Linked DNA regions of Mus musculus. The main gene of each other region encodes a partner of the protein of the gene in region 2 in a complex. Links are inferred from orthologs where the notes say so. Each region holds a gene or a part of one and is shown on either strand. Other genes may lie near its edges.

The links. The genes of interacting proteins can lie anywhere in the genome.
Region 1: the proteins of Nelfe (region 2) and Ncbp2 are in contact, whole or in part, in a crystal structure (PDB 5OOB), measured with the Homo sapiens proteins. The link is inferred for Mus musculus from reciprocal best matches to the Homo sapiens genes NELFE and NCBP2. Residues at the interface, in NP_002895.3 of Homo sapiens: Lys361, Arg362, Gln364, Ile365, Val366, Tyr367, Asp369, Tyr372; in NP_031388.2 of Homo sapiens: Phe49, Tyr50, Thr51, Thr52, Glu53, Gln55, Lys68, Ile69, Ile70, Met71, Leu73, Lys77, Lys78, Thr79, Ala80, Asp107, Glu121, Gln124.
Region 3: the proteins of Nelfe (region 2) and Ncbp1 are in contact, whole or in part, in a crystal structure (PDB 5OOB), measured with the Homo sapiens proteins. The link is inferred for Mus musculus from reciprocal best matches to the Homo sapiens genes NELFE and NCBP1. Residues at the interface, in NP_002895.3 of Homo sapiens: Arg362, Ile365, Val366, Tyr367, Ser368, Asp370, Val371, Tyr372, Gly379, Phe380; in NP_002477.1 of Homo sapiens: Tyr461, Lys511, Lys557, Ser558, Ser560, His561, Ser564, Lys568, Ile609, Arg610, Gln612, Cys616, Lys647, Met648, His651, Glu705.

What each region holds. Positions count from the first base shown.
Region 1 is NC_000082.6:31,947,251-31,951,345, forward strand, and holds the start of Ncbp2 (nuclear cap-binding protein subunit 2), read left to right. Parts: upstream 1-1,295; 5' UTR 1,296-1,399; coding exon 1,400-1,477; intron 1,478-4,095. Other genes in the region: 0610012G03Rik (hypothetical protein LOC106264), read right to left, coding at 911-1,198. UniProt on the Homo sapiens protein: Component of the cap-binding complex (CBC), which binds co-transcriptionally to the 5' cap of pre-mRNAs and is involved in various processes such as pre-mRNA splicing, translation regulation, nonsense-mediated mRNA decay, RNA-mediated gene silencing (RNAi) by microRNAs (miRNAs) and mRNA export.
Region 2 is NC_000083.6:34,852,943-34,857,400, reverse strand, and holds the end of Nelfe (negative elongation factor E), read right to left. Parts: intron 3,977-4,458; coding exon 3,902-3,976; intron 3,789-3,901; coding exon 3,751-3,788; intron 3,594-3,750; coding exon 3,268-3,593; intron 3,181-3,267; coding exon 3,036-3,180; intron 2,957-3,035; coding exon 2,902-2,956; intron 2,706-2,901; coding exon 2,603-2,705; intron 1,314-2,602; coding exon 1,243-1,313; 3' UTR 1,029-1,242; downstream 1-1,028. Other genes in the region: Cfb (complement factor B isoform 1 precursor), read left to right, coding at 82-182, 265-397, 472-521, 819-974. UniProt on the Homo sapiens protein: Essential component of the NELF complex, a complex that negatively regulates the elongation of transcription by RNA polymerase II.
Region 3 is NC_000070.6:46,137,283-46,141,310, reverse strand, and holds the start of Ncbp1 (nuclear cap-binding protein subunit 1), read right to left. Parts: upstream 2,801-4,028; 5' UTR 2,459-2,800; coding exon 2,425-2,458; intron 1-2,424. UniProt on the Homo sapiens protein: Component of the cap-binding complex (CBC), which binds cotranscriptionally to the 5'-cap of pre-mRNAs and is involved in various processes such as pre-mRNA splicing, translation regulation, nonsense-mediated mRNA decay, RNA-mediated gene silencing (RNAi) by microRNAs (miRNAs) and mRNA export.

The DNA of each region.
Region 1 (4,095 bases), on a different chromosome or scaffold from region 2:
ACCCACAATGGGCCCTTCCCCCTTTGATCACCACCTATTGAGAAAATGTCTTACAGCTGGATCTCATGGAGGCATTTCCTCAAGGGAGGCTCATTTCTGTGTGATAACTCCAGCTGTGTCAAGTTGACACACACAACAAGCCAGTACAATTACTAATCACAGTTCAGTTAGCTGACCATAGTGAATACCCCAAACCGAACTTCAAAATGGGGAAGAAGAGAAACGTCATGTGCTATGGGATCAGCGGCCTTAATGCTTAGTGGTGAGAGATAGGGCAGTTCCTGAGCTGTAAAGTGGAGGGAGTGACCAATAGTCCCTGGGCTCTCTACACTCTGCAAGGCTTTGGGCTACTTGGAAAGTGGCCTCCATTTCTTCACAGAATGGGATTTTAAGTCACAAGCCACACAGATCTCGAAAGCAAATACCAACACAGACGCTTAACGCGTTAACTATCATTAACAAGATCTTAGAGTCCCCCGCATTCCTCCTTGTCTGAGAAATACCACATTCAGACTATTAATCAGCTTACACATTTAATGAAGGATTTTGGCAACCTCGGGGTTGTCGTTCCATTTACAAGCTCCCCTGGTATTCTCCTGCACCAGTGCAGATGCAGCAGCAGGAATTCAGCTTCAGTCCTGCTTGCAGACGGCAGGCTTGCTTTCTGATTGTCCATGACTCTCAGTCGTGCTGTTATGGTCTAGATTCTCTATCACTGGTGGGCCTCGAGGTCTTTACGTCTGCAGGACTACCGGGCACATGTCCATTTGACTTTAGGCATCTGTAGGACAATCCGAGTTAGGATTCGAAGCAGCGTAGCGTCCTGGAGATGACTCGTGACTGCTGAGGTCGGTGTAGATCACTGAAGGGACGGGTACGTGACCTCGGCCCGGGAGGGTCCAGTCCGTGCTTACGCTTTGGCGCCCGGACCCTTCTGCTGCCCTGGACGGTCCCGGACGCCACGGCGGAGTTCCTCGGTGAAAGTGTCCTTGAACCTCACGACGCGGCGACGCAGGGCACCGGGCGGCTGATCCGCGAGGGCGCGCAGGCGGCGGGCTGCATCGTGGCCGCGCAGCTGTAGCTGTAGCAGCGCGAAGGCTGTGAGCTGCGCCGCCCGCCGGATGGGCCGCGACTCGGACAGCCGCTCCACCAGCTGCGGGTTGTGCAGCAGGGCCGCCAGCAGCCGCCGGAAGACCATGGCTCTCCCCGCGCCACGGAACCCGACGCTCGCTGCCTTCGCCTTCCGGACGGCCACGCCCGACGACGGACTAGCCGGCGCTGTATGATGACGACACGGCTCGCCCCGTGGTTCTGGAGCACGCCGCCCGCATTTCCGTTTCCGCCGCCCGCCGCTTGGTTCTCCCGGCCGTGGCCGTGTCGGGTTTGGTGTTTCTGCATCATGTCGGGTGGCTTACTGAAGGCGCTGCGCAGCGACTCCTACGTGGAACTCAGCGAGTACCGGGACCAGCACTTTCGGGTGAGGCGGGCCAGGCCGGACCGGGCCACGAGATGGGGAGCCTTTGGGCTCTAAGAAACGGAGAAACGGTTTACACTTGTCTTACTATGTCTTCCCTCCTGATCTCCTGGGGCCCAAAATGCGAAGGGGTTCCGAGCGGGGCATGAATGTCACCGAAGCCACTTTATCTCCCAGGGCATCTAACACTTTATTTCACAGGTCCTTGCAGCACCCGGGGAGATGTGGCGGTGGCCCCTGTTTGATGGGCTTGTCTTGCTTGGGAAAGGGACTGTAATGAGGAGGGATCCCTGTGGCGACTGACCAGACACTAGAGCGGGTTTTGTTTTTAGTAAGCTAAACACTGCCCTTTGGTACTTCGTTCCTTTCTGCTGTAAGACAGCCCTACAAAAAGTTGGCAGTAAGTGGGAGACTTAGAGTTGGGTTCCCGTTTGTGGCTGTCTGACGGGCATCGGGACAAGTCACACGAGTCGCCTTAAGATTGTTTGGATGACAAAATCTAGTACAGCCAGTGGCTGAAGAGAAGCTCTGTCTCGAAAAACAAACAAACAGAAACAAAAAGAAATTTAGCCTAATTTTAAAATGTTTGCTGTGTGTCTGCTAAGAGTTTCACGTCTACAGTTCTCATTGCTTTGAACAGGTCCACATCAAAACTAACCAGTTTGAATTTAAAGCACACTGAAAGATTAAAACTAGGGGAGGAGTCATTCATTTGCTGTCAAAAGCCTGTAACTCGGGGCTGGAGAGATGACTCAGTGGTTAAGAGCACTGTCTGCTTTTCCAGAGGTCCCGAGTTCAGTTCCCAGCAACCACATGGTGGCTCACAACCATCTGTAATGGGACCTGATGCCCTCTTCTGGTGTGTCTGACGACAGCTACAATGTACTCATATACATAGAAAGCCCGTAATTCTCTTCAGATAGTAATAGTTTGTGTCATGTGCATTTTCTAGTGTATTCTAAATGCAGTGTGTCAGTGCATTGTTAAGTGTGAAATTAAGTTACAGTGAAGTTATCGACTCTGCGTTTTACAGAGTTGCAGTACAAACTGCACCTGATAGCCAAGTGTGGTGCTGGACATCTGTAGTCCTAGTAGAAATATCGTAAGGTTGAGATCAGCCTGCACAGGTAAAAAGCAGATGTTTCCTCTAAAGTTCTAAAACCTTGTTTTTGTTTGTTTTTAACACAGTGTCTGTTGGTCCATAGACTTCACCTGTTCAGTCCTGTAACAGTCTTAAGACAGTGTGGCAGTGGGAATAAGACCAGAGGTTTTTAAAATTTTTATTTTATTATAATGTTGTTGTTGTTTGAGACAAGGTTTTACTATATTGCCTTGGCTGACCTGGAACTCACCATGTAAAACAGGCTGGCTTTGAACTGACCAGAGGTCCACCTGCTTCTGCTGGGATTAAAGGAGTGCACTGTTGCGGCCACCAGCAGCTCGCAACATGAACGGTTCGACTGATATGGCTACTCAAGCTGTAAGAGAGGAATCTAGACGGCCGCAACAGTGCACCACCATGCTTAGCTCGATACTGAGTTTGAATTCTGGCTGAAGCTACTATATAGTGTTTCATCCTAGGAGACTCAATTGTTTTTCCTCATGTGTAAAATGGGAATGATATATCAGGGCCTACCTCATAACATTCCTTAGAATGAAATAAAACTCTCAGATCTGCAGTCCTTTGAGCTTCCCCAGGGGCAGACAGAAATACTATTTTCTTGTGTATAGCTGCATGTTCTTGGTTTTTAAAACTGTAACTTGGAGCGCTAGAGAGCTGGCTCAGAAGTTAGCACAGGCTGTTCTGCAGGACTTGGAGCCAATTCCCAGCACCCAGATGATGTCTCGAAACATCTATAACTCCAGTGCCAGGAGATTTGATACCCTATTCTGGTTTCCGAAAGCACTGGGCTGGCACATGGTGCACAGACATGCAGGGTGCGGGCAAAACACCCATACACATAAAATACTAAACTCAAACCAAAAAAACTGTAACTTGGGAGATGGGTGTGATGGCCCATGCCTGTTATCAAGGCATTTGAGGGAGATGGTAGTAAGACTATCAGGAATTTGAAAGCAGCTTGGACTATGTGGTCCTGTCTCAAAACAAAAACAAAAAACCCAAAACCCAGAACAGAACAGTTGGGCTGAGTAGACATAGCTCAGTAGGTAGAATGCTTGCCTTGCATGTGTGAAACCCTTGGGTGGATCTTGAGCTGTACATAAACCCAGAGTGGTGGCGAACGCCTGTAACCCCAGTACTTGGAAGGTAGAGGTAGGAGGATCAGAAGTTCGATGTCACCCTTGGTTAACATAGCAGGTTCAGTGCAACCAAAGCTACATGAAATCCTGTCTCAAAAATCAGAGGCTGGAGAGATGGCTCAAGTACTACTCTACCAGAGGACCCCCGTTCAGTTCCTAGCGAATTGGGTATCTTACAACCAGTTTCAAGGATCCTGATACCTCTGGCCACCAAGGGCTTACTACATTCTGGTGTGCACCGCCCCCCCCCCCCCCCACACACACACAAAGAGAAATGAACTAACTTAAAAAATAAAACCACAGAGCTGGGGATATGGTTCAGTGGTTAAGTCCACATGCTACTCTTGAAAGGACCCAAG
Region 2 (4,458 bases):
GGCCTGGCTCCTATGGGCCCAAGGGACATCTGCTGGGTGAGAAGTAAGGGTTCAGCTGGCATGACCCCATTACTTTTCCAGAGGAACAGTTGCTCCCTGTGAAGGATGTCAAAGCTCTGTTTGTATCTGAGCAAGGGAAGAGCCTGACTCGGAAGGAGGTGTACATCAAGAATGGGGACAAGGTGAGAAGAGGATTCTGGAGAGGGTCACATAGGTCTCATTCCTCCCTTAGCTAGCTAGCTTTTTCACCTTTGTTGCCTACAGAAAGCCAGTTGTGAGAGAGATGCTACAAAGGCCCAAGGCTATGAGAAGGTCAAAGATGCCTCTGAGGTGGTCACTCCACGGTTCCTCTGCACAGGAGGGGTGGATCCCTATGCTGACCCCAACACATGCAAAGGTGAGGTGGCTCTCTGGCTATGCTGCAAGTCCACAGGCCCAGCATCTTTCCCCTACAGCTTCTCTCTTCTACAGGAGATTCCGGGGGCCCTCTCATTGTTCACAAGAGAAGCCGCTTCATTCAAGTGAGTGGTCCCCTCTCTAGTCCCTTAGGGAGATGCCCAGGAGTCACAAAAAGAAAGCCTGCTGTACATGGCTGGAAAAGGGGGCTGGAAAAGGGGGCTGGAAAAGGGGGCAGAACAGGGCCCACCTCATCTGACAGCTATGTTCTTAACTGGTCAGTGAATGCCAAGTGTCTGGCTTATGTGCACCACAGAAGACAGGGGGAGCTAGGCTCCCAGTGCACTTCTTTAGGCCAGCTTGGAAGCTTTCTGGGATTATTAGTGTGTCAAGTGACCCATGGCATACCCTTATCTACACAGGTTGGTGTGATTAGCTGGGGAGTAGTAGATGTCTGCAGAGACCAGAGGCGGCAACAGCTGGTACCCTCTTATGCCCGGGACTTCCACATCAACCTCTTCCAGGTGCTGCCCTGGCTAAAGGACAAGCTCAAAGATGAGGATTTGGGTTTTCTATAAAGAGCTTCCTGCAGGGAGAGTGTGAGGACAGATTAAAGCAGTTACAATAACAAGTGTGTTCCACATCTTTTTGGGGTAAGGGCGTGCACTGGTTAACATCAACACTGACAGCCGCTTTTGAAGGCTTAACTCCAATCCCAAGTGCTGAAAGACTAGAGGCTGACGGAGGTGAAAAGCTTCTACCCCAGGATTTTACTGAGACCAGCTTGGGGGCATATGAGGCACAAGGAATCCAGCTTCATGTCCTAGAAGCCATCCACAAGGTTTCCTATAGATCGTCACTGTACACAATCTGGGTCCTCTTGTCTCGATGGCAACCCTTAGGGCTGTTCTGGACAGCTAAGGAGGGAGGAAAGTGACAGTTAAGTGAAGCACCAGTGGCGTTAGACCTGGGGTCCAGAGCCCTGGCCCTGGTCCACCAGGGCTTACTCTGCCCTCTGGTGGCCATAACCTCACTGTGGCTTAGAAAATCCAGAATGTTAACACAGTTAGAGATGTGACTATGATAACATCACAAATACATGGAAATTAAAAGATCAGAATGTTTCTGTACCTTGCTGGTACACTGGTCAATTCTGGTTCCTTCCTAGTGTGTGCAAGGACTTTGCTTACTCCTTCCTCAGAAAAGTTTGTTTTGGGTAGAATGGGCTGTCCACACTGAGAGACCCCATGAGGACCTCTCCGAACTCAAGTGTTCAGCTTTTCTTTCCTCATACTGCTCATCCCTCCCAAGGATTCCCTGTGGGGCTAAGAGACAGGCCTCCTCTTTGGTCTTATACTCTTTTCAGAGCCTCTCAGCCCACAGCCCAGAGCTTCTGGGGTTGTTCTTAGCTTGGACTCTTCTTCATGGCTCCTTTGCTGCAGACTTAACTTGGGCCTAGCAAGCCAGGACTGCTGGAGGTATGCTAGGCACAGACAGTAGAGCCTAGCTTCCTAATGCTCTTGATTCTCTAAACCAGTCTCAGGTCACTTTTCAATCTCCAAAATCCCCACCTCTGATGGTTCCAGATACACAGAACACTAATCTATGTTTCCATGCCTGGTCTTCTACTTGAGGTCCAGACCCACAATACCAAGTTCAGGTAACACTCCAGCTCAGAGGCGACAACTAGGCTTCTGCTTTCCTGTCTGTGACAGAGGACCCTGTTCTGTTTTTCCAAATGGCTTTTCTTTTCTTTCTTTTTTTTTTTTTGGTTTTCTGAGACAGGGTTTCTCTGTGTAGTCTTGGCTGTCCTGGAACTCACTCTGTAGACCAAGCTGGCCTTGAACTCAGAAATCCACCTTCCTCTGCCTCCCAAGTGCTGGGATTAAAGGTGTGTGCCACCACTGCCCTGCCCAAATGGCTTTTCAAGACAAGATTTCTCTGTGTAGCCCTGGCTGTTCTGAACTCTGCTCTGTAGACCAGGCTGGCCTTGAACTCACCTGGCTCCACCTCCCACGTGTTGTGGCTGAAGGTGTGTGCCACCACTGAGAGGGCACATTTCAGTGCTGCTCTCCTTCCCTCACCTGACAGATGCCCTGGCAATTCTTCATCCACTACCTACGTGAAGATCCTGACCTTGGGCACTTTAGGGAACTCAAGGAAGTGCTATGCTGCAGAGAGGGGAAGGGAGGAGCCTCATCCTTACCAAGGGAGCCCCAGACAGATTTGCCAGTAGCAGCGTCCAGCATGGGCTGTTTTCGGGCTATGTTGACTTTAAGCTGCACAGATTCCACCTGGGTCCCATTGAGCTGTGGGACAAGAGGGGAGGGGACAGAGGACGGGCATTACATGGAGCCAGGTGCTGCTGCCCTGGGAGACCAACCAGGAATGTGAGGATGAAGGTTTTCTCAGTCAGGAGAAAAGTTTCCTCTAGAAGCAGATATTGAAAAGAAGAAGCAGGAGGATGACAGGAGGGATGGGAGGAACGGTCTGAGAAGTCCCAACCTCAGCAACAGCCTGATCTGCAGACTCCATCTTCTCGTAGGTGACGAAGGCACAGCTGGGTGAGAGAGAAAGCAGAGTCAGGAAACTCCATGGAGACCAGGCAGCTCCCTCCCCGGGATGTTGCTCATGCTTACTTTCTGGGTGGGTCCATGGAGAGGTCGATGATATTTCCAAAGGGAGAGAAGGCCCCGCGGAGGAGGGTGGGCGTCATGTCCTCTCCATACACATACAGTGTGTTCCCCTTTCGAGGGGCCCTCCGTTCGGGGAATGAGTCTGACCCTGTGGGTTAGGAACCACAGTCATTACTGGGTCCACCTCACCTTCTACTTAGCAGGACCCACCTAAACCCTGGCTAAGATCACTCACTGCGGAAAGGGCCCTCTCGGTCTCGTTCCCGATCTCGGTCCCGGTCTCTGTCTCGATCCCGGTCTCTGTCTTTGTCTTTATCCCGGTCTCTGTCTCGATCTCGATCTCGGTCTCTGTCTCTCTCTTTGTCCCGATCCCTATCTCGGCTCCGGTCATGACTTCGGTCCCTGCTGCGGCTTCGGGGAGGGGAGGCTGAGGAGCGGGCGCTACCATGCTCTTCATAGCTCCAGTCAAAGCCTCGAGGTGGGCCATCACCAGCCCCGGGGGCCTCTGCTTCTTCTCCATCTTGTCCCAGTTCCCGAAGCCGATCACTAGAAGACACAAAGCTGGGGAGAGGCAGACAGTAAGGACCAAAGGGGGTTCGACCTTCTTCCAAACCTTGTGGAGTCAACACTGCCTCTGCAGCTGGCTCCTCCCACTCTAGCCCTGAACTTTCCAGTCACTCTGGCCTCTGACCCCACACCAAACGGTGCTCTCTCTGACCTTTCATACAGAGATTTCCTCTGGGGACGTCTGGATGGCTAAGGGGAAAGAAAAGACAGAGAACAATTCAAATGATTCCCAGGTGCCGGAGTTGGTCCACAGTGTGTGGGTCTCTTCTTGTCCCCAACCCTGGCCCCACAGAAACCATTACCTCCTGTAGGTCCTCATCAGCAGACATGCTCCTCTGGAACGGCTGGAAAGTGGGGACAGGCCCCTTCTCTGGGTCCTGGAAAAGGGCAGATACCCATGTTAGCGTGGATCAGGAGAGCTCTTCCCTCTCTCTTCTCTGCTTCTCTTTTGCTCCTGTCACTCTTATGATGATGTGCTGGACCGGTTGACTGGTTTTTCAAGATAGTGCTTCTCTGTGTGGCCCTGGCTATCCTGAACTTGCGCAGTAGAACCAGGCTGTCCTTTATGTTAGAGCTCTCGGCCTGTCTGCTCCAAGTGCTGGGATTAAAGGTGTGTGCCACTACATCAGCTGATGTGAGTAACTGGTTTCATTACTCAAACCTCCCTTCAATCCAAGAAGCACAAATATGGAAAAGAGATGTGGGCATCACCCAGGCTTTTTTTTTTTGTTTTGTTTTTTTTTGTTTTGTTTTTCGAGACAGGGTTTCTCTGTATAGCCCTGGCTGTCCTAGAACTCACTCTGTAGACCGGGCTGGCCTCAAACTCAGAAATCTGCCTGCCTCTGCCCCACAAGTGCTG
Region 3 (4,028 bases), on a different chromosome or scaffold from region 2:
TGTACTGTTTCCTATGCCCTTGTTAGAATCAGACTGTAATTCAGATCAACAAAGTAGACAAAAAACACCACCATAAAAGAAAAAAGTAACTTTGACTCTACAAACTTAAAACTAGAATTTAAAATGGTAGAAGAATATCACTTCTGAAACAAAGTATATTGTCCCTATGTATAACAAACTTTTCATACAGTTAAGTGTAAAAACATCAGCCACAATAAAATATAAAGACCTAAGTGGAAGTAGAATAGGCTATCTGGACTTTTGACTAAGATTCAATCTAAATTCCTTCTTTTTTTTTTTTTTTTTTTTGGGTTTTCGAGACAGGGCTTCTCTGTGTAGTCCTGGCTGTCCTGGAACTCATTTTGTAGACCAGGCTGGCCTCAAATTCAGAAATCCGCCTGCCTCTGCCTCCCAAGTGCTGGGATTAAAGGCGTGCGCCACCACGCCGGGCCTAAATTCCTTCTTAACAATAAGACAATATACTTCACACTGATAAAATGTATATCCAACATTACTGAAGAAGTTCAGAGATACTGTTAAGGAATCTAAGCCTGCCAAGTATGGTATTCCCCTTGGGGTAAGGCAGGGCAGTCAGTGGGATCTATCTAGCCAGGACATAGGAACAGGCGTTCCAGCCTGAATTGCATAGTTCTAGACAGCCAGGACTACATACATAGACAGCCACATAAAGACCCTGTCTCAAAAACAAACAAACAAAAGAGTCTAAGACTGAGTTAGATTTGATACTTTCCATTTACCATAGCCCTTTCTGTGACTCTAAATAAACTACGGGAACTTTATTGATTAGCAACCTTGTAGTATCTCTGTGAATCCCCAATCATATAGTCCTAACAGAAATGTTCAAGTGGCCCAGTGAGGTAAGAGGCTCATCTAAACTCCCCGGTCTCACAACTTCTACCCTCACTTTCTCTCTTCTACCAACAATGACCTCCTTGCTGTCTGTTCTCTAACACGACAGAAATGTTCTAACCTTAACTCACGGTTTCCTTTGGACCTCTGCTTCCTCCAAGCATCCACACGGCTCATCCTCACATCACTGAAGCCATAGGCCATCTGCAAGGAGGCCTTACCTAACCAGCTTCTCTCTCACTTTGGTCTCTACACCCTTTACCTCACATTATTCTCCACAACCCCGTGACCTTATAACGAATTGCACTATACCGCTGTGGGGTTTGTCTTAACCCAGGGGAGGGAGCCTCCACTGTTCTACTGCCTCCTACTCCACTGCAAGCACAGAAGCTAGGAAACTGTTTAGCAAGTCGGCACTCCTGATGTATTAGGACATTCTCTCAGGTACTACTGGCAGAAACCTGGGGCTCCACTATATGGGATTCGCTTGGTTGTCTTAACATTCCAAGGGAGGAAGCTAACCCAATTAAACTTGGGGGAGGGAGGGCTTTTTTTCTCAACGATGTCAGCATTTATCTGTGTGTATCACCTCTGAGACATTAGCAGTTGACAAAATAAACATCATCATGAACTACTGGTGAGCACAATATCTCATTTAGCCCCCCGTAGAAACCAAATGGCTTAGTATTATCCACAGTCCACGCTTAGGTTTAAGAAGTCATATGACCCTGACAAGATCACATAGTAAATAATCGAGATGTCGAGCTTCGAACCTAAACCCTTCGGTTCTAAAGTTTTTTCTTGCCTTAACCCTTTGGACCTAACACTAACAGCTCCAAGTGTGTTCTTGAAAGGCAATAATGGTGCAACAAAACAAAATTTATGGCAACACAACGACGTCCTTGCCGGCGACCATCAAAACTGACATGAGAATTAATAATCTGCTCGGGTTTTCCTGCACTTTCTTATAAGGGAAATATGCTTAAAGCCAATCCAACAAAACACCCCGTGCCTGTTTATTAGTGACCTCTGGGGTGTTGGTATTCTTTTTTTGAAGCCTAAAAGAGGGGAATCAGCGGGTGGCAGGTGGAGGAGAAGGGCTCAGATTGCAATACATCCGACCTCTGTCATAGCTTTGTTCTTTTCCTGTCTTCCCAGGGTCCTTTCCAAGTACACCCTGGAGGGCTAAAAGGAAAACACTGGTCCACTAGATATATCTCCTCCACTAAGTGATCCTAAGAGGCAGCAGCAGACAGACACACGTGCGGTTTCCATGATCAGTAGTGAGGGATTAAGTCCTCAGTGTCGCGGGACCCCAGGTCGGATTTGCTCACGGGATTCACCAGGCCTTCCTTTCCCATGACTGAAGGAGATGGGGTAGCAGGGAGGCCGTCGCTTTCCCGAAGCCACTATCCACAACCGAGCCAGCAGCCTCCCTTTGGGGCTCCCCGAGCCCTCCCGGGGAGAAAGGATTCCTATCCGTTCCCGGGAGACTGAAGGCGAGCCCGGCCTCGGTTCTCACCCGGACGCAGTGGCCAGGCCGAGAGCACTTACCATCGTTCTCGTAGCTGTGCCGCCTCCGCGACATGCTGCTTGCTGGTGCGCAGCCGATCTGAGTTGCTAGCCGCCTGCAACCCCAGAACCGTCGGGCTGCCGGCCGGCCGGTGCGCGGTCAGCGGCGAGGCGCGCGGACTGAGCGGCGCGCAGGCGCACTCGCTTACGACGCCTGCCGGAAGCGCGTGCAGAGGGGCACCGGATGGGCTCCGCAGTGGAAGGCCGGCGTCTGCAAGTCCAATTGCGGCCGCCTCCTCCGGCTTTCCACCCCGGGCCCTTCTGGACAGCGAGCTAAATTATCCGGGCCGCAGCGATCCCGCCTCGGCTTTATACAGGCCCGGCGGGATTTTCCCGGCGGCCCCTGCGCCGACGACTTAGGAGACTTCCGGAGAAAGGTGACGGCTCAGGGACTCTCTGCGCACGCGCGCGCCGGGGGGCGTGGGCTCGAGGGCGGGGAGCAGCGCCAAGTTGGTGAAGGGAGACCCAGGAAAGGCCTAGGGTTTGCGGGTAGGTGTTCTCTCTTTCTCTCTCGCCATCCCGCTGTAGACGCCTCGGGAGACCTGAGCGGGGAGGAGGGCAAGCCACTTTCAGCGGTAGGGAATCCAGGCCCGTCCGGCTGAATCTGCTCACTGTAGTCCTACTGCCTACTTCTCCCAGCTGACGGACGCCCCAGCTACTGATCGGTGTGGTTCCAATTGTTCTATTCCTCTGCACGTGTACAGTATGTGGACGTCCTCTGCCCTGTGATGGACACCAAACTGTCTTGTCCATGGTCTAGCCCAAACTTTTCCTTCAGTCTTACCTGTTACAGTAAATGGCCGTTTCGGTAGTTTGCTTAAATCCAAGAATTTAGGGAGGAGTCATTAGCTCCTTCACTTCCTGTGTTACAGTTTATCCACTAACACTGCCTGCTATACTCTGAGAGCAAGTCTAGTCAAACTTATTTACTATGCTTAAAACTCTTCACAGACTTAAAGCAATATTTTATGTATTTGTAAGTCTGTACATCATCCTGGAACTGGAGTTTCAGACTCTCTGTGAGCAAGGAGGAGAGTGCGCGGGAGCGGGGTGGGGGTGCTGAATCCCGGGTCTTCTGCTAGAGCAGTAAGCACTCTTAACCAGTGAGCCATCTTGCCATCTTTCCGGCTCTACTTCTCTTTGTTTATTTTAAAGATTATCGTTTTTCTATTCTTTTCATTTATTTATTCGTACATGCAAGCAATCCATCTTTCCAGGAATTTCCACTGCGAATTCCAAACTATGGCTTCTTGGGTTCTGTTCCCGTCATTGTGTGTAAACCACCATGTTCTTCTGCTAAAGTCCAGCTTGTTCACATTTTAGGAATCAAGACTTATTTTCTTTATCTGTTGGTCTCTGCTCTGAAATTTACATGACTAACTGTCAGGGACCTACAGAGTTATTTCTCTGACTCCTCAACTCTTGCTTTATTTCATTCAGCAAGTACTATATTGTATTAATTAACATTTGTCACCGTCTGTACATGGGACAACGAGACGGTGTTCAGGATACTGAAGCCCTAAGTGACCCTCTCAGGAATGATCACAGGTACTGTAGTCTGACGGACTTAATAGCAAAGGGCGAGT